3 linked regions of the Caenorhabditis elegans genome follow. The protein of the gene in region 1 interacts with the protein of each later gene in a pairwise test. Each region holds a gene or a part of one and is shown on either strand. Other genes may lie near its edges.

The links.
Region 2: the proteins of abu-15 (region 1) and rpl-13A interact in a two-hybrid assay, tested with the Caenorhabditis elegans proteins (one large-scale study listed by BioGRID).
Region 3: the proteins of abu-15 (region 1) and W02B12.1 interact in a two-hybrid assay, tested with the Caenorhabditis elegans proteins (one large-scale study listed by BioGRID).

What each region holds. Positions count from the first base shown.
Region 1 is NC_003283.11:5,154,951-5,163,049, reverse strand, and holds abu-15 (Activated in Blocked Unfolded protein response), read right to left. Parts: upstream 4,449-8,099; 5' UTR 4,428-4,448; coding exon 4,203-4,427; intron 4,156-4,202; coding exon 3,214-4,155; 3' UTR 3,143-3,213; downstream 1-3,142. Other genes in the region: abu-6 (Activated in Blocked Unfolded protein response), read left to right, coding at 1,158-1,382, 1,431-2,372; srx-39 (G-protein coupled receptors family 1 profile domain-containing protein), read left to right, coding at 5,290-5,328, 5,371-5,531, 5,597-5,820, 5,865-6,076, 6,119-6,249, 6,292-6,397; srx-38 (G-protein coupled receptors family 1 profile domain-containing protein), read left to right, coding at 7,534-7,572, 7,624-7,784.
Region 2 is NC_003281.10:3,500,135-3,505,556, forward strand, and holds rpl-13A (Large ribosomal subunit protein uL13), read right to left. Parts: upstream 3,471-5,422; 5' UTR 3,463-3,470; coding exon 3,204-3,462; intron 3,152-3,203; coding exon 2,999-3,151; intron 2,952-2,998; coding exon 2,755-2,951; 3' UTR 2,707-2,754; downstream 1-2,706. Other genes in the region: M01F1.8 (VWFD domain-containing protein), read right to left, coding at 647-947, 1,739-1,933, 2,001-2,195, 2,241-2,402; lias-1 (Lipoyl synthase, mitochondrial), read right to left, coding at 3,645-3,973, 4,030-4,265, 4,310-4,611, 4,656-4,753, 4,803-4,902.
Region 3 is NC_003280.10:11,447,141-11,454,151, reverse strand, and holds W02B12.1 (Lipase_GDSL domain-containing protein), read right to left. Parts: upstream 5,131-7,011; 5' UTR 5,122-5,130; coding exon 5,109-5,121; intron 4,704-5,108; coding exon 4,534-4,703; intron 4,487-4,533; coding exon 4,369-4,486; intron 4,319-4,368; coding exon 4,152-4,318; intron 4,107-4,151; coding exon 3,940-4,106; intron 3,590-3,939; coding exon 3,503-3,589; intron 3,454-3,502; coding exon 3,381-3,453; intron 3,242-3,380; coding exon 3,137-3,241; intron 3,088-3,136; coding exon 2,980-3,087; intron 2,929-2,979; coding exon 2,788-2,928; 3' UTR 2,707-2,787; downstream 1-2,706. Other genes in the region: rsp-1 (putative splicing factor, arginine/serine-rich 1), read right to left, coding at 49-171; rsp-2 (putative splicing factor, arginine/serine-rich 2), read left to right, coding at 1,207-1,326, 1,379-1,636, 1,926-2,002, 2,051-2,347, 2,396-2,489; W02B12.13 (uncharacterized protein), read right to left, coding at 5,318-5,443, 6,484-6,570.

The DNA of each region.
Region 1 (8,099 bases):
AATGATCTTTGCACAATTGCCGACGGGGCAAACAAATATTACGAATAGATCAAAAAGTTACGCCGATCAGCTGGAGAGATATGGTGAACACTTTCACGATACTATTTTTAAAACGAGTTTAATTCGTTCATACAAGCTTATACGAGTTTACTGTTGAAAGGTTCTACAGTAATCAGAGAAATTTCGAGTTTAACAAATAATGAGACTGACAAATATCTTCTGAAACAGTTTCTAGCAGATACAACTAAACATTTTTTGTGTCATATTCATCGAACGCCCTATCAACCTGATAAACATATTAATCTTCCGGGAAATAATTTGATAGCGTATTTATTAAAGTTGCATTACGTTTAAACTTTCCAAATTTCAAATTTCAGAAATTGCATACAAATAAGAACAAGAGAGGATAACAAATTATGTTCAACCAAATTAAAATGAGAAACTAAAATTTCAAAATAATTTAAGTATTTTTCAAATCGAAAATTATTTTTCTAGAACACGTATTTTCTCAAATTTGGCAAATAACACATTTGTTGTCTACATTCTTCCCAAGCTGTCAAATTGCAGCACGATATAACAAGTTGTCAGTTAGAAACTAAACGCTCACTTGTCTCAACTTCATAACCAGTCATTTGTAAATTTTAAATAAAAAGAGGTATAGTTCGCCACCGATAGAATAAAAAAAGATACAATAATTTCAAAATTTCCATAGCAGTATAGATTTGAAGGAAGGCCGCAAGCTGAATAAAACCTAAAATAAAATATTTCCGAAACTTTAAGAAAACAAAACAGCGTTAAAAATTCACTTCAGATAAACGATTCCGTAACATAATGTAGATCAAGGAACATCACATTCCAAAATTAAAGTTTCCAATTTGCAACATACCAGTTTTCACCTTTTTCCTCGACACACGTTTGTTTGATTAGAGAGTTTATTCTAATGCTCACCGCACCTTTTTTTACACGAACACTTTTTTATAAGGCAAACAGTTTGGCCGGAAAGAGAATGAGAGACACATAGACGAAAAGTGAACGGAAGAGCGGAAATCAAGAAGTTTCAGGTCTGGTACAGAGGGTGGGGGTATGGGAAAGTAGTATAAAAGAGAAGAACAGAGCTTCATTATCATCCGATTTTCTCGGTTCGAATCATTACTAAAATGCGCTTTACTTCACTTGCCATTGCCTTCCTTGCATGTGCCCTTGCGGTATCTGGAAGTGCGATCCGTGAAAAGAGACAGTGTGGATGTGCTCAGCCACAGCAGAGCCAATGCTCGTGCCAACAAGTTCAACAGACTCAGTCATGCTCGTGCCAATCTGCTCCAGTTCAACAACAATCCCCATCCTGCTCATGCGCTCAGCCACAACAAACTCAACAAGTTCAGGTACCTTTTATGCATTTATTTCAAACACTACTAAATTAATGATTTTAGGTTCAATCTACTCAATGCGCCCCAGCTTGCCAACAGAGCTGCCAACAGCAATGCCAGGCTTCTCCATCCGTGTCCCAGTGCCAGCCACAATGTCAGCAACAGTGCCAGGCTCAATGCACTCCAATGTACAACCCACCAACCACTACTACCACCACCCAAGCTCCAGTTGTCCAATACCAACAGTGCCAACCAGTATGCCAACAGCAATGTCAATCTACCTGTGTTCAACAACAACAACCAGCAGCTCAATGTCAGCCACAATGCCAACAACAATGCAATGTTGCCTGTGATTCCCCATCCACTACCACCCAGGCACCACAAGTGATCCAAATCCAACTCGAGATCCAACAAGCTCAAGCTCAATGCCAACCACAGTGCCAGCAACAATGCCAATCTTCATGTGTCCAGCAACAGCAACAGTCCAACCAGTGCGAGCCAGCTTGCAACACTCAATGCTCTGATATCTGCCAACAAACTGCTCAGGCTACCCAACAAGTCTACAACCAGAACATGAACCAGAACACCAACACCCAAATGTACAACCCATACAATACCAACACCAGCCAGAACGCTAACTGCGCTCCAGCTTGCCAACCAGCCTGTGACAACTCCTGCACTTCCCAGCAGACTCAACCAATGTACCAACAATACGACACCACCACTGAAGCTCCAGCTCAAGTCATCCAGATTGTTCTCCAGACTTCTGTTGCTCAATCATCCCAATGTGCTCCACAATGCGAACAGTCCTGCCAACAGCAATGTGTTCAACAACAACAGCCAGCTGCCCAGTGCCAAACTGCCTGCCAATCATCATGCTCTAACTCCTGCCAAACTGCTCAACCAGCAACTACTGCCTGCCAACAGAGCCCACAACAGAGCTCCTGCTCCTGCCAAGCTAACTACTCTCCATGCGGAAATGGACAATGCTGCCGCAGAAAGTAATTTAATTGTTCCTGATTCTTGATTTTTGTATATACCGAAACAATTCAGTTTCAATAAACGCATAACTTTTTAAAAAGTGTCTTCCAGAATCTCAAAGTTTTCACTGTATAATGAAAAGTGGTTCACAAACTAGCATAATCATTACTATCGGAAACAGTGAAATATTATTAAAGTGAATGCCTGAAATAATAATGTAACGAGTATTGCATATCAAGATACCAGATTGTCTAAAAAAGTAAAACTAATTTTAATGAAAATGGAAAACATTTTTGATATATCGCTATAAAGTTATCACTCGCAAGTATTATCAGAAAAAGTATGTAGCAATTTTAATTGTAAGCTAAAATAAATTTTAACTTCTAAGGTCGTATTACATTTTTCGTAATGAAGGAACAGTGTGGTAGTGAAACACGTAAAGTCGTGAACCTAAACGATTTGAAACTAAATTGAATTTAAAATACTTCATCAGTGAGCTTTTTTTTTTTAATCTCTAGTTTCTAAACTCCTGCTGGCGAGCTAGAAAATTCTTGTAAATCTAACTTTTCTATAAATATTTCTTTGATGAGAGCATTTTTCAATGAGTACAGAAATAGATAGAACATACGTAAACCTGTATCAATGCCAACTGAACAAATGTTTATGAGATTTTCTAAAAATGTAGTCGAAGAAGAGACGCTAACAGTTTTTAAATAAACATGTTGTGTTTCGAAAACAACTGGTTTATTCTGGTTATTTTTATGTCACGTCAGATTTTTAAAGCGAGAAGGTTTAAAAAGTTATGCGTTTATTGAAACTGAATTGTTTCGGTATATACAAAAATCAAGAATCAGGAACAATTAAATTACTTTCTGCGGCAGCATTGTCCATTTCCGCATGGAGAGTAGTTAGCTTGGCAAGAGCAGGAGCTCTGTTGTGGGCTCTGCTGGCAGGCAGTAGTTGCTGGTTGAGCAGCTTGGCATGAGTTAGAGCATGATGATTGGCAGGCAGTTTGGCACTGGGCAGCTGGCTGTTGTTGCTGAACACATTGCTGTTGGCAGGATTGTTCGCATTGTGGGGCACATTGGGATGATTGAGCAACAGAAGTCTGGAGAACAATCTGGATGACTTGAGCTGGAGCTTCAGTGGTGGTGTCGTATGGTTGGTACATTGGCTGAGTCTGCTGGGAAGTGCAGGAGTTGTCGCAGGCTGGTTGGCAAGCTGGAGCGCAGTTAGCGTTCTGGTTGGTGTTGGTATTGTATGGGTTGTACATTTGAGTGTTGGTGTTCTGGTTCATGTTCTGGTTGTAGACTTGTTGGGTAGCCTGAGCAGTTTGTTGGCAGATATCAGAGCATTGAGTGTTGCAAGCTGGCTCGCACTGGTTGGATTGTTGCTGTTGCTGGACACATGAAGATTGGCATTGTTGCTGGCACTGTGGTTGGCATTGAGCTTGAGCTTGTTGGATCTCGAGTTGGATTTGGATCACTTGTGGGGCCTGGGTGGTAGTGGATGGGGAATCACAGGCAACATTGCATTGTTGTTGGCATTGTGGCTGACATTGAGCTGCTGGTTGTTGTTGTTGAACACAGGTAGATTGACATTGCTGTTGGCATACTGGTTGGCACTGTTGGTATTGGACAACTGGAGCTTGGGTGGTGGTAGTAGTGGTTGGTGGGTTGTACATTGGAGTGCATTGAGCCTGGCACTGTTGCTGACATTGTGGCTGGCACTGGGACACTGATGGAGAAGCCTGGCATTGCTGTTGGCAGCTCTGTTGGCAAGCTGGGGCGCATTGAGTAGATTGAACCTAAAATTTTTGATTTAATGGTTTGCGAATATGTTAATGAACTGTACCTGAACTTGTTGAGTTTGTTGTGGCTGAGCGCATGAGCAGGATGGGGATTGTTGTTGAACTGGAGCAGATTGGCACGAGCATGACTGAGTCTGTTGAACTTGTTGGCACGAGCATTGGCTCTGCTGTGGCTGAGCACATCCACACTGTCTCTTTTCACGGATTGCACTTCCAGATACCACAAGGGCACATGCAAGGAACGCAATAGAAAGTGAAGTAAAGCGCATTTTAATAATGATTCGAACCGAGGAAATCGGATGGTAATGAAGCTCTGTTCTTCTCTTTTATATGACTTTTCCAGCTGCTCAGTAAACCGGTTCCAGTTCCTAATTTCCTGATCCTCTTCTAAATGTGACTCTCTCTTGCGGCCGCGCGCAAAAGCGTTCGCCTAAAGCTTCAAGTAAGCTATCGAGTCACTAAAAAACTCCGAGCTAATACAGGAATAAATTGTAGTATTGCGCAAGCAAAGAAGAGAGGTCTTGTTTGAGTTTGCTCTATGACCTTGTTCACGCAAGGTTCGCACATGAGAACTAGTTTTCAAGGGCAAACAGCGATAAGCAATCTATTTTTATAAGATTTATCTTTTAATTTTGTTTAAATTTTTGAACCGTTCTAGCTAATCGAAAATCAAAAGAATCAATGAACCACATAGACACGTAGACATGTAAGAACGACAAATTTCGACTCTAATTTAATTTACATGATTTGTCATGCATGACATAAGTTGGTTTTCAGACCCGAACATTTTTTCGATTTGATTGTATAGAGCTACAGTGGTTGCTGCCTCGCTTCTGGGATTTCCTAGCTTCCGGGATCTCTAGAGTTTGAAATTTTAGTTTTGAACTCACTTTGAAACACATTTCAAAGTTTAAAAAATTAGGTATAAAAACATTTAGTTAATAGCCTAACGGATTTTTTAAAAATAAATTGTATCTATGCGAAATGTGAAAGAAACTATGTTTGTATTGTAGCTGAACGCCACCGGCCCAGGTGACTCGAGCCTGACAAGAAAGTTTCAATTTTTCCAGATATTTCTCTCTCATTCATAACATTAACTTTTTCATTTCCTGTTGGCTGCAAATTACAATCATGATTTCCGTGACAACAATCTCTGCAATTATGCTTTTGGTAAGATTTTATTGTAGCTCAAACAAATTGATGTACCTTCAGTTTTCCCTCTGTGGATTTACAATAAATTGGGCAATTGTGATTATAATGATAAAAGTTACAAAGTTGCAAAAACCATTTGCAATTTTAACTGTTGGTCTAGCGATTGCTGATGGAACATTTTCCGCGCTCTACTTATTCTATGCAACTCCAATGGTATTTTTGTAAGTTGAACAAGTTTTTTTTTTCATTCAGCGAGGCCAACAGTTAAAATAAAAATTCCATTCAGCGAGAGCGATATTTTATCAAATTATTCGAGTGTTTGTGGATATGTTCTTATGATTTGCTACAGTGCTTCAACAACTTTTCATTTCATGATATCCCTTAACAGAATTCTAGCAGTGTATAAACCAATGCTTTATCGTATGATGTTTAGTGTTTTGTTCACGTTTTGTATAGTAATGGGAATTTATTCCTACGCACTTACAATCATAACACTATTTTTTCAAATTTGTAGGTTAGTTTAATGTCAACTAAAATTGACGGGAGAGTTGCAGTGGGATGTCAAAATTTTTATGACCAAGAAACAAGAGCATTTCGTTATTCTGGAGGAGACGTTTGTCGTTTTTATGCAACTTATTTAGACTTTTATCTTGTTTTTTCATTGACTATTTCCAGTACTATTTTGGACTTTTTAGCTATCGGAAAAGTGTTAAAAATTAGCTCAAAAACAGAAAAGCACTCAAAAGAACTTAGCTTGTTGAAACAGGTAATATTGATCTTTATAGATTGTTTTAAATAATAATTTCAGTCCATAAGCCAAACTCTATTTGTTCTTGCAATCGTTTGTAGTTTTACTTGGGGTCCGCGTTTTATTCCAGACATTGATTACACCTTTATTTTCTCTTCTATTCTCTGGTCTTCAGTGCATATGTTTGATGGGTAATTGTAAATATTCTAAATACTCAAAAAGTTCTAATTTAGGTTTTTCACATTGATTTTCAATCCAGAAATCCGAAGGAGCTGTTCCAGAAGCGGCCAGCCACTGGCATTCAACGTTGTTAGATCGAAATCGGCTGCATTGGATTAAGAATAGAGGTCTTTGTTAGTGGAATTGTAATGCTCAAGCCAATTGTCATTGTCTAGGGTTTTAGGAACTGAGTTATTTTTATATCATGAATTTTGGTTCAGAACATGTGCTTGTAAAGAAAAAATATGTACATTTTAAATTTATGATTTGCATGATCAAAGTCACATTTGTTCCCATCTTCTAAGAACAAGCTGCAAGAAAATCATCAAAGTGGAAAAAAATCAAAAAAAATCGTAAATATGGTACTTTGTGCGTGCTCCAATGGTTTTGTTCCTTTTCCTTAGATAAATTGTACATCAATGTATAGTTTTATAAGATAACCAAAAATGAATAGAAAATGCAAAAATCAAAGCAAAAAATCTGGTAATTGCGCCACTTATTTGCCAGCTAGTTTATTAAATTTTAATTATATGGAGCACAAAAAGGATTTCTGTTTTTATCACCACGGAAGTTTAATATTTTCATATTAGACTTCCAATTTAAATTTGAGTATGAATGAACTCCCAGTTTGAATTTCCCCCAAAATGAAAACAGTAAGGCCAATCAGTGATTCGTTCCTCCCACTCTTCTGGAGCCAATCAGATAAACTGTGTCAAGTTGATTGGTTCAAAAATGAGTGGAAGGAAATTAATTGGAAGGGAATTCAAACTTGCATCCTTCCCAAATCTATAGTATATATAAAACAGTATTTTTGAAACATCCATTTTTAATTCTTTCTGAATTGTTTCTTGTGTGTGAAACCAAACAAAAAACTAGAGAATATTTAAACTGTGTGGGGAGACGATTACACGTAAACAAGAAAGGGTGGTAGTTAATTGTTCTGTTAGGGGTATAATAAACGATGAGTAATACGTACATTAGGAATTTTCTCTGAACAACATGAATTTTATTAAATTTTTTTTAACAGCTTAAATAATATGTCTACGAAAAAATCTCCAATACAAACCTTAACCGATTGAAAAATCAAAACATCTCTACCTCACTCTGTCATGCACTTCTATTTAATCAACTCAGAGCTCGGTTCATTGCAGGTACTCGTTAAATGGCAGGTGTGGCACTGACTCCACCCAATAAATAGAAGTGGATTGAGGTCAAAATATCTATTGGTCTAGGATACTTGTTTTCTGTTTCGAAATATGATCTCGGAAAAAATAGTTGCTGCAATTATGATTGTGGTGAGCTGAAATTCGAACTTTTTTTCTCCAACTTAGCAATATTTTTTTCAGTTTTCTTCATGCGGGTTTTTCACAAATTGGGCGATCGTAATATTAATGATAAAGGTTACAAAATTGCAAAAACCATTTGCTATTTTAACTGTTGGTTTGGCAATTGCCGATGGAGTATTTTCAACTTTATACTTGTTTTACGCAACTCCTATGGTGTTTTTGTAAGTTTTTGAATAAAACAATATGTCGGGCAAAATTGAATAGGTATTTTTTTTGGTTTTTCCAAAAAAATTTAATTTGAAAATGTATACATATAATCCAGTTAAATTGCCTTTTGGGCAATCTTACAGAAATGTCTCGAATTTTATAGAAGTTCCGTATATCTACATAGTAGTGCGGTAGTTTCTCAAAGAAAATTAAGTTTCCCGCCAAAATTATTTGAAAAATTGAAAAAATCCCGCTGAAATGTTTTTTGCTACTCGACGACACTCCAAAAACCCCATATCGATATTCCTTCAAAAAACAAAAACTCATTT
Region 2 (5,422 bases), on another chromosome or scaffold:
TTTTCTCGAAGAGAACGATACAACGATGCTCCGATATTCCGCATCTCGCGTTGTTTAGCGAGTTTTCCAGAAGAAAAATTTCAAATATCAACGTGCGTTGCAGAAGAAAAATTGCATTTTTTTTTCAGATCTCCTTTTCGTTCACCTCATTTTTCGTGGGACCTCAAATTCAAGCGTTTTTAAGCATTTTTTTCGTCTTTTTTGCTTAATTTTCCGCGGGTTTTAATAAGTTTTATGCCGAAAATCGATAATTATTTGGACAAATAATATTTTTAAGCCATCATCTCGACTTCACGTGGAGTCAGAAAGTCCCATTACGCTTTGATCTTCCAAAAATGCGGGAGAAGATGCGCAGACATCTCATCCGATTTCGCATAATTAAGAGCGTGATGACGTCACAATTTTTCTGGAAAAATATTCCCGCATTTTTCGTAGATCAAACCGCAGTGAGACATTCTCACACCGCGTAGATTTAGAAATCATTGAAAACGGCTGAAAATGTAACAAAAAAGACAAAAAATGATTGAAAATCTTTGAATTTTCGCATTTTCCACCAAATACCCAACGAGACCCATCTGTTCGGGGCGGAGCGTTCATATTGAATTGGAAATTTTTCTGCGTCCCAATAATATTTCGAATTTCTAACCAAAGTTCCGGAATCTCGCCGCACAAGCCTCCTTTGAACTATCAAAATAGTCGAATCCATCGATTGGTGGTGGCTTCTGAGCTTGAAATGCACTTTTAACTGGTTGTGGAGTAACCGGTTTTCTCAAAGGTCTCTGTACAGTGACTGGAGTTGGAGTGGGGGCTATGTTCCAAGCGGAAGTAGACGGAACTTGGGGGTTTGGAGGAGCTAAAGGACGTTGTTGAAGGGGAGCTGGCGGACAAACTCCGGCTTTTGGAATTACTCGATAAGTTTGGCGGCCGTGAGCGTTGGGAACATCTATCTGAAAATAAATTAATTAGATATTTACCATAATACGGAATTTTTTCGACATATAACTACGTATTAGCTATAATTTGGCTCTTCTTCTGGCATTTTTTGAGGGTTTTCCAATTTTTTTTTCGATTGAACACCGCAGAAATTCTAGAAAATTACCTATTGCCTATCCATGTTTTTCCAACATTTTTCATTAAAAATTAGTGTGAAAAAATAGAAAATCCCTTGATTTTTCTGAAAATAACGTTGATTTTAGTTGAAAAATTTGAAAATGTACTATAAAATTACCTGGAAAGTGCAAATCAGTGATTTGCATCTTACAATTAATTTTGAAGCACATTTTCAAATGTTTCAACTGAAATCAACGTTTTTTTCAGATAAATCAAGTGAATTTCTATATTTTTACACTAGTTTTTAAAGAAAAATGTTGGGAAAATATGGTGCAATAGGAAATTTTTAGACTTTCCGAAAATAATGCTTCATAAAGTCGATTAAAGTTTGAAAATCCTCAAAAATTGCGAAAAAAGAGCCAAACTTTGAAAAAATCTGAAATTTCCGCAGCTTGAATATAGTTTTTTTTTGAATTATCACATATTTTGGCTGTTTATCAGTTATTTTAAGCAAATTGAATGCCCAGCGACTAAAAAAGCGCCTAAATCAGCGAAAAACTTCCCAAAAATGTTAAAAAAAAAGGGAAAATTCAATAAAACTGAATTCGAAAACGACTGCGAAAACGACAAGCTGACGAAATTTTAAATTTCAACAAAATTTTTGACGTTTTTCTCAAAATTTCAATACCGCAATATCATGATATTCATCAGTAGCCAACGCGGCTCTCCAACAGACTCCTCTCTCATTCGGCGCTTGCTCTCGTGCAACAAATTTGACACGTTGGCCCGGCTTAAACATTTCAGTCAACTTCTCAACGTCAGGACGAACAGTGGCTCGAGTCACGAATACATTGGTTGTCAAAGGCTTAGTATAGCCTGGAATCTGAATTTTGTAGTCTTAATAGTTAATTTCGTATTAAAATTGCTCGTTATTCCACGTTTCCACAAACCTTGGCAAGAGTTGGCGGATTTTTGGTATATTTCCAGTCAACGAACATATACTGAGCTTTATCATCGGGAATATTGATAACTGCACCCTCAGCAACCAACATTCGTCCTTGTTTGATAAATTTAAGCTCAGTGCCAACCCAAGCGAGTTCATAGTTTGCCATTTGTGATAGCTTATCGCCAACTTCAATATCTACCTGAAACATCGGGTTTTATTAAAGTTTTCCTGGAAATAAGCTTACAGTTGTAGCTTTTCTAGCATTGAATTGAACTATATCGTCATGTTTATATCCACGAGTGAGCAATTCCTTCTTAAAAAGAACACCTTTTCCATCATAGCGAACCATCATCATATCGTGTGAAACAGCGACGACGGAACCTTGCTTATGAAGGATTGTAGCCATTTTGTAGCTCTGATATTAATAAAAGATGATATTCAAAGAAGAGGCTCCACGAGAAGAGGATCGGCATAAAGTGGATCTAGCAGTGTTTTAATAAAAATATCTCTTAATTTTTTAGTAAAAATAGTGTTTTTTCGATTTTCCGTAAAATCTAAAATTAAAAACCTTCAGTTTCTCTGCCCTTAAATGTACTGGCAATTTCCAAATAAATTTCGTGGGACCTCTCGAAAACATGCAGTGAGACAGAAATATGAAACAAAGACTCTCAACAAGTAACCTGAATATGTTTTGAAAAAACAGTAGTGATATGGTCAACAATTTTATAATACCAAACAAAACAGATTTGTGCATGGATTTAATTGTATCCAAGAGCCTCGATGATCTTCTGGTATTGAGCGATCTTTGGGGCGGCATTCTTCTTTGCTTGAACGGCGAGCTTGTCCATCTTCTTTTTCTGTTCGAAGTAGGCGGCTCCCTTCACCTTTCTCTTAGCCTCGAGCTTGGCAACAACATCCTGGAATTGCCATCCGACCTCGTGCGATAAGCGTCCAACTGAAAATTAAATAATCGTTGTGATCAAAAAAATTATAATAACTCACCGACGCAGAACTTTCTTCTTGGTTGAAGTCGGAATCTGCTGGCTGATGGGGCATGGAGAGACTTGGTCTTCTGGTATTTGGCTGGAACTCCTTCGTAGGCGCGGAGGTTCTTGAGAGCCTCGTTTCCGCGGTTGGTCTTGTGTGGGAGCATTCCTGAATAGAGAATTTATTAATTTAAGTACAGATAATGTTTAAAATCACTCACCTCTGACGGTACGCCAGAAGATCTTTCCTGGAGCACGGTAATGGAAGGCTCCACGGGCTGGGTTGATGTTACAACGCTTGCGGAGGAAGCTCATGTACTTCAGCTTGGAACGGTGGAAGTTTCCGGAGATGACGATCTCTTCAGCTCTGAGGACGACAACCTTGTCTCCTTGGAGAAGCTTCTTTGCAACGATGGAAGCCAACCGACCGAGAAGGTGGTTCTTTCCGTCAATGATGATTGCTCTGTTCGACAGACCCATCGTTTACCCTGAAATAAATACTGATAAGAAGGGGAAAGTTTAGAAATACACGAGAGTAAAGGAAGAGAGATAAATCGAAGCGAGAGAACGCGCATAACAATAAATATATGAAAACTATTTCGAGAATTTATTTGGCAAGAATCCCGCACAAATTCTTCTAATATTTACATATTTCAGTAATCTTAATTTTGTCTATTTCTCAACACATTTTTCAAATAGAATTCTCCGGCTTTGTACGAAGAGCGAACAAGAGGGCCAGATGCAACGTAAAGGAATCCCAGTTTTTTCGAATATTCTGCCCACTGGTCGAATTTCTCGGGGGTCACCCATTCTTTGACAAGCAAATGACGTTTTGTCGGCTGCATGTATTGACCGAAAGTGACAACGTCAACATTGCTAGCTCGAAGATCGGCCAAGCACTGCTTTATCTCGTCTTCAGCTTCGCCCAGTCCTAGCATAATCGATGTCTTCGTGATTAGCTTTGGGCTGACTTCCTTTGCGTATCGAAGAGCTTAAAAAATATTCAATAATATTTACGAGATTCTGAAAAAAAAAAAAGCTGCTTACCGTCCAAAGACTGCCGATATTTAGCTCGTGGATCTCTGACCCATGGAGTCAGTCTTTCAACCGTTTCAATGTTATGTGCATATACATCGAGTCCACTGGTAGCCATTTTCTCCACACTGATCTTATCTCCAGCGAAATCGGGCAATAAGCATTCGATGAGAAGTTCAGGCTTCTTGAGCTTCATCAGCTGTACTGTCTTGCGAAGATGATCGGCTCCACCGTCTGGCAAATCATCCCTGAAAATTACTTTGATTAAAAGCTCAAGATACGAATAAGTTACCTGTCAACTGATGTTAAAACAATGTATTCGACACCCCATGAAGCAACGGCGGTCGACGTATTTTCCGGTTCCATAGGATCCAATGGTGGAGGAGCTCGAGCAGTTTTGACCGAACAGAATTTACAACCCCGAGTGCAGGTATCTCCCATCAACATGATTGTCGCTGTTGCTAGACTGTCATCTGATCCTCCCCAGCATTCTCCAAGATTTGGGCACCGTGCTTCCTGACAAACAGTCGCTAGTTTGAGATGTTTCAACTGCTTTTTTAGACGACTGACATTTTCGTTTTCCGATGGAAGAATCTGAAAACAATTGTGATGAGGGGCAAAAAATTGATAGGCTATACCTTTTCTTTCTTGAGCCATGGTGGAAGTCGCAAACGTCTGTCCCCTTTCTCCAGCTTCAGTTTTCCTTCGTACTTCTCAACAGCCTCTGCCACGGATGCTAAAATTAATAATTATTTGATTATGAAACAATATTGTTTGAGTTTTACCTGATGAAATAAAATCCTGAAGCGATGGTCCATCTTTGACGAGAACTTGCGGTTTTTTCTTTGTGGCTGCAAGTCCACGGACCCATACCCGAGCTAGCATGCTTAAACAATCTACCGGTAATAATTAAACTCCTTGTGTTGAAAATCAAGAGGGACCCCCTACAACTGAAATTCTGGTTGAGAAATAGACAAATTTGGATTTTGGGAACATTTTTCCACTTTTCCTACCTAGTTTCTGACAAATCTCGCAGAATAAGAACTACAATCGATAATTAGCACTATTAATCGTTTAAAAATTAAAAATTCAATCAATTTTATGCAAAAAATCGCGCAAAAACGTGAAAAATCAGGCGAAAATCGTGAAAAAATTTTAGGATAGCGGAAAAAGCCATGCGTTGAGGTTCGATGGGTCTCGCCACGATACGCAATCAGACGTGACGGTGTATGCACAGAAAAATCCACCGTAGTCCGCAAGGCCATTCGCAACATTTTTTTTCACTTCAACAATCAAATTTAACTCATTTTTCCAGCAGAATCTTGGGAATTTTCATAAAAACCTTAATAGTGAGGTCCCTTTTGACTTTTTACGTGGTTTATTCGTGATTTTGATCATAACTAGA
Region 3 (7,011 bases), on another chromosome or scaffold:
AAAAAATGACATTAGGAAACTGAAATGGTTTTAGAAATTATAACTTACGACAAATCCAAAACCATTCTTGAGTAGGACGTCGCGAATTTGGCCATAACCACGGAAGAAATGCTCAATGTCCTTTTCAGAAACACGAGAAGTCAACCGACCGATGTAAATTCGAGCTGCCATGCTGAAAAGAAAGCGAATGAATGAATGGCCTGTATCACAGAGGAGAAAAATAATATTGAAGACGAGAAGATTATCGATTCACAAAATGTGCGCGTTTGAGAGCGCACTCACAGACAATGTAGCCATGACAACAACGCGCACCTTGGCCGATAAGCGGGGCAGCTGTTTTACTCAAAACACACTCATTTTCTCTGCGTACAACCACTCTTTTCTCGTCTGCGCCCTACATTTCTTAAATTAGTTGCAATGTTTTTCTCCTAATTAGTTTCAAACTCTGACCCACATATGAAAAAAATGATCTTGCATTTGCGTAATCCTAAAATTCCTTCCTTTCGAATTTGATGATTTTCTGCGTTTTTTAAAGTTCTAATATCGTTTCCTAGCTTGAAAATAATTTGAAGTTTTTTTTAAAGTAAATATATAACACTTAACGCTTTCACATCCAGGTTAGCCAATGGACTCATTTTGCTTTGATATTCTTTATTTGAGATTCTGTGAATCAATGCCTTTCATCACAAAAAAAACATCTTAAAGCGCTTATTCGACTTATTTTCATATAAAATCCTAAAACCACAAGATTATAGTTTGCATTCTGATGAAAAGTTAAGAGCATATCAACCTGAACACCTACGCAGGCGAAATTCAATGCAGGATTAGTGAAATACTTTAAAAATAAGAAGAAATGCCGCACAAAATGCGAAAATCAGTTTCAAATGAGGGCACCCGCGACGCAACCGCAACGCTTAGAGCACTAAGTGCGTGTCAGAACGCTGCTGACGCATTAATGGGATACCATTGCGCGTTTCTCGTTTTATAACTCTGTGGCATCGTCCTGTGCTCCCATTTTATTGATTATCGACTTAATTTCAGCGCGTCGCGTGCATGTGCATGTACATATTGCCTCCTATTTAATGTGCAATGCCCAAATTCTCTTCCTCTCTGGCCACAATAATTTTTATTTCTCCAGACTTTTCTTATTTCTTCTCTCTTTTGAATTGACTTTTCTCATTCTTCACTTATTTCAGACCTCTAAACATGGTTCGTGTCTACATCGGTCGTTTGCCAAATAGAGCATCTGATCGTGATGTCGAGCACTTCTTCCGCGGATATGGAAAGCTGTCTGATGTCATAATGAAGAACGGATTTGGTTTCGTGGTAAGAGATAACATATTTTCGTCAGAATATCTTGAATATGTCATAATTTCAGGATTTTCAAGACCAGCGCGATGCCGATGACGCTGTCCACGATTTGAATGGGAAAGAGCTTTGTGGAGAGAGAGTCATTCTTGAGTTTCCACGGCGTAAAGTTGGGTACAACGAGGAAAGAAGTGGGAGTGGTTTCAGAGGACGTGAGCCAACGTTCAGAAAAGGCGGCGAGCGCCAGTTTTCCAACCGATACAGTCGTCCGTGCTCGACTAGATTCCGTTTGGTGATCGATAATTTGTCTACTCGTTACAGTTGGCAGGTAAGATACATGACTGCGAGCCATAGCGATTCACAAGTTGCGTGTTTGAGTGTGATTGAACAACTAACGAAATACTACCCCCGTTCCAAATTTTACTGAAAACTGTCACTCATTTTTTCAAAACGAACATTTTGAATGCTACAGCAGCAACTCAGTGGGTGTGCCATTTGCCAATACAATTTGCAATTCAATTGCTCTCAATCAATTTCCTCAGTCAATGGCATTCTTCTTCCTCCTATCAATCTGGCCCTACTTCACAAACAATCAATACCCTGTACCTGAATTTTAGGACATCAAGGACCACATCCGCAAGCTGGGAATCGAGCCGACCTACTCCGAGGCGCACAAGAGAAATGTCAACCAAGCGTATGATATGCACTTCTTTTAAATGTAATTCATCGTTTTTATTTTTAGAATCGTATGCTTCACTTCCCATGACGACTTGCGTGATGCGATGAACAAGTTGCAAGGTGAAGACCTGAACGGAAGAAAGCTCAAATGCACGGATGAGACCCGTGACCGCAGCCGTTCAAGAAGTCCACGCCGTCGCTCTCGATCCAGAAGTCCCACTAGAAGCCGTTCTCCACCAGCTCGTCGTCGCAGTCCTGGATCTGACAGATCGGACAGAAAGAGCCGTAGTGCATCACCAAAGAAACGATCCGACAAGAGAGCTCGCAGTGAGAGCAAGAGCCGTTCTCGTTCCGGCGGAAGGTAAAAATAAATTTATGATTAGTGAGAAAATACATTTCTATTTTCCAGACGTTCCCGCTCCAACTCTCCACCAAACCGTTCTCCATCACCAAAGAAAAGACGCGACAACTCTTCTCCACGTTCCGGATCTGCATCTCCATAATTTTATTTATCATTGCACCTCTCATGTGAAATTTCCTGTTCCATCTATTTTTTTATCGTAACGTCAGTAACTCGTGCAAAAAGCCGAATCATGTAATCGACCAATCTAATGTTGTGCGTCTCTCTCTTTCTCTCTCTCTGTTTGTGTGTTTTTTTGTCTAAAAACTACCACTAATTTAATATATTATTTTTATAAAATTCAATAAAACAATTTGGATGCAAACTTTGCAATTTTTTATCGAATACATAACACTTCTCATAAAGTTCATTTGAAAACAATTGAATATTCGCGAAAAAGTTTAATCTAGCTCGCTCAACGTGAAGTGTGAAGCACAGTTATTGCTGTTTTTTGTAGTCGGGAAGAACGGACAGTTTGTACTTGGGCAATGTAATCCAACTGAAGGATCACTCAAATTGACACTGGTTTGTTTGAATCCAACCTAGAAAAATCCCATTAAACAATAAAATCATTATTCCGGAGTTATGATTACTGGTTGAACAATTGTGTTCCAAAGATGCATTCCAATATTTCCATGCCCGTAAGCCGAGAAATGGAAGCAATCTGGAGCAAAGAATGTCATGTCAACAACTCCTGGGCTCTGGAAAATGCAAATATTTAAATGAAATTTAAATTCAAAATGTGCCAACCGCGTATGGTGGATCCAGAATCCCGTTGAAAAATGGTTGAACTACAAACGTGAAATCATCCTTGTTATCGAATAATCCCGTGTTTTGAATATCTTTTTCAGCATTCTGAAAACTTTTAAAAATTTAGAAAGATGTGTCCCACCACGACCGAAACTTTTCAGCTACCGTACCGTATGCGACACTACGGTATCTGAAAAGTTTGGCTCACGTCAAGACCTGGGACTGGTAATAATCCAAAACAAACCATATATCCGAAGCAAACTCCTTGAATATCATCATCAGTGAATTGTTTGTTGGACTCACAATCACATTCGAATCTAAAAGCCAAAAGTTAAACAGAATTTTTAGGAATTCAAGTTCCCCTACGTATGAAGTCCTTCGCAGAAATACTTCTTCTTGTCAATCTTACGAAGCATTCTCATGTTGAACATTCCGGTCAGTGAGACAATTGTTCTGGAATAAATATTTGAATTTTTAAACTCACGCCACGAAGAAAAAGTTTTGCAAACTGAAATTCTACTGAACAGTTTAAATTTGAAATTCGTGCGCCTCTAAAGAGTACTGTAATTTTAAAATTTTGTCTTTTTGCTCACAATTTGTTAAAATTCATCTGGTTTTTATTATTTTTTCTTAGTTTTTGTATAAATATTTTTTAAATAAAAAACTTTATGGAAATTCAGTTTGAAATTACAGTACTTTTTAAATGGCACACACCCGTTTTAACTTTACAAAATATTATCGCGCCGAGACCGGATACCGTATTCTTAGCGCAAAAATTGCAAAATTTCGCGTCTATTCAATACCTTGGCAGATTATCCTGAAGAATCTGAACAGCTGCGATGATATTCTTCTCAAAAGTTGCATTTCCATGAAGAGCCGTCGAGTTGAAGTACGGATCTTCACAATAGACACAAATATCGTTTGCCCCAATGAAAATGTTGACAAGTTTCCAGTCTTCTTTCACGTTAATCTGAAAGCTTTGATTTGAAAAGGGGGCTCAGAAGCTCTAAATTACTTCAGAATGAGCATGCATAGTGTTGACCAGAGCTCTTGCCTGACCGATAATATCCTTGGATTCAGCTCCAGGAACTCCCATATTCAAGTGAGAAACTTCCCATACGTTTTCCGAGCCGATTCCTTTTGAGGCACCCACCAAGGTTGGATTGAACTTTCTTAGTACATCTGAAAGGTTTTAGAAGGGTAAAAATATTATCAAAATTGTAAAAACTCACTTGCAACAGTAATGTGCTCATCAAGGCTTTTATCACCTCCAATCTGGAAGGCAAGTCCTCTATATTGCAGGATGACTGCCAGCGGGTCTCCTGGTTGAGCTCCAGCACCATTGGCTGCCTGGAAGTTTGACCTAATTGGTTTTAGTAAAATTAAAGCATACTCACAGTCAACGAGTCCCCAAGTGCTCCAATAACCTTGATATCAGCAAATCGAACACTATGAGCACTGGTGGGAACTTTCTTACTCTTTGCCATAACACTAGCGTCACACGACCAGTTCGGAGCTCCGAGATCCTTGAGCCCATGAGCCAGGGAGCAACATAGCAACGTGGTAACTGAACGTAAAGAATGGGTGTATTTTTCTAACTAAAAGGCTAGATTTTTGACTAATTTTCTAGTATTTATTAGCAGGTTGCAAATTGAACAACTATGTGGAATTTGAAAGTTGTAGCCACCACCCACTGCGGCTGAGATCGTGAAGAGACCTACTCAGAAAAATAGCGAGCGCGTATAAAGCAAAGCGGCAATTTTTACGAAATTTGGATATTTAAAATTTAAAATTAATTTCTTGTTTTCTGAAAAAAAGGAAAGAATACATGTCTAGGAACCTATGAACAAGAGCATGATAGATACAAAATCATTTTTAAAAAATTGAGATTCTCCTAGCAGAATACACGAGCCTACGTAAATCTAAACGATTAGTTTCTTTTTCTAATAATTCCTAATTCAAAATGACCTACCTAACCACCGCATGATTCAGTAGTGCTGTCTGAAACAGAGTCTCAAAAAGATGATATTCAAGACATTATCGACACCCACTGCTTATCACCTTTATAGTCTTTATCAGGACATTTTGATTTGCGTCCGGACATGCTCTCGCAATCCAATTTGTATGTACATTCATTTAGGGGTTTGAACAGGAAAAGTGGGTGGCGAAACATATAAATTATTAGAAATTAGAAAGTTCTAGCCTCCAGTTGGTGCTTGTGCTCCGAGAATTCCGATTCCACTGTTGACACCGACGAGTGATTTTGGTGGAGCGTACTTTGGAAGAGGGATGAAGCCGAGCTGTAATCTACAGTTTTATTTTGAAGTATTGTAATTTAAAGGGTTTTCGGTAGAAATTTTGGTTTTGAAAAAATATATAGTAAAAGGAAAAAACTGTAAAAAATGAAGGTCGGAAAATTTCAAAGTTTTTGTAAATTACCAAATTTTTCAAACTTTCCAAAAAAGTTTCCAGAATATTTGACTACTCTAAAATATCCTTTAAACGTCAAAAATTTACAACGATTTAGTCTAAATACACCTAATATACTCCAGAAATGGTAAAATTGTATAATAGAAATCCAAAAATTTTCAGATTTTATAAACTTGCAGGCAAGTTTTGGTAAATTGTCAAATTTTCCAAAAATTAAGACTATTCCGCAAAAAAACTGCTTATTTCAATGTGATAATTCTACTTTTTGAATCCAAAATTTATATACATAGAAATGCAATAAAACATTGGACCGATCTGAGAATAAAACTTATTAATGTCAAACAGTTTCAAACAGGGTCTCAAATAGTGTCTGAAAGTTGCTTGTTGCCGAAAAAGTGTTGTGAACCAGCGACTCCGGCACTATTTGAAAGCTTTTTTTTTGAAACTTTCATCAAGAATACATTTTATTCTCGGATTATTCAAACATTTTACTGAATTTCTATATTAATTTGCAATTTAAAAAGTAAGATTTTCGTATAGTCCTTATTTTTGAAAAATGAACACTTGGAAATTTTGCCAATTTACCAAAACTATGCCAGAAAGTTTATAAAATCTAAAATTTATTGGATATATTTTTGAGATATTTCCAAATTTCGGACTATATGAAGTGTGTTTAGACTAAATCCCTACTGTCGATACCTGTAAATACAGTTCAATACAATTTAGATACATATGAGCACTTTGAACTAGAAAAAAGGTAGATCAGAAATTTTTAGACCCAAACGTAGATTTTTGACGTTTTCAGGGCATTTAAGGATAGACAAATATTTTGAAAGTCTTTTGGAAAGTTTTTTCCAAGTATTGAAGTGTGTGAAAAATCTTCTCAAAATGAATTTGCATAAACCAAACAGCCTTACATTAACCGCCTGTATATACTTCATCGCTTTTCCAGACACAATCAAATCCTTATTCCCATCGTAGTCGTTCAATGATTGTTGTTCTCCCTGGAAAAAGAAAACAATACGAATATTCGTCTCCTCTGTCTTTTCTCCCGTTAGCCTTTTTTTCCGTTCGTCTTCATATTCTCGATAGAAACAATCAAAAAAAGAACGAAGCGCGCCGCCGGCACCGTACGAAGCGAAAACATAAACATTTGATAGTTTGGGAATGGGGTATGCAAATCGCATACAATTTCTTCGTTTTTCTTATTTCTTGCAGTTCTCTCTGATAGCGCCCGTCAACGTGGAACTAAGAAATCGAGAACCGCCCCACTCCACACCGGCTCTTTCAATTCACTTCTATGCTCACTTTTATTCCATAAAGTGTATGTATGGACCTACTAATATTACTACTCTGATTGTACATACCAAACACACAGCGGGGATTCTTTTATTATTATAAAATCATATGCATATACAGGCCCCTACTAATAATAGTCGTGGCAC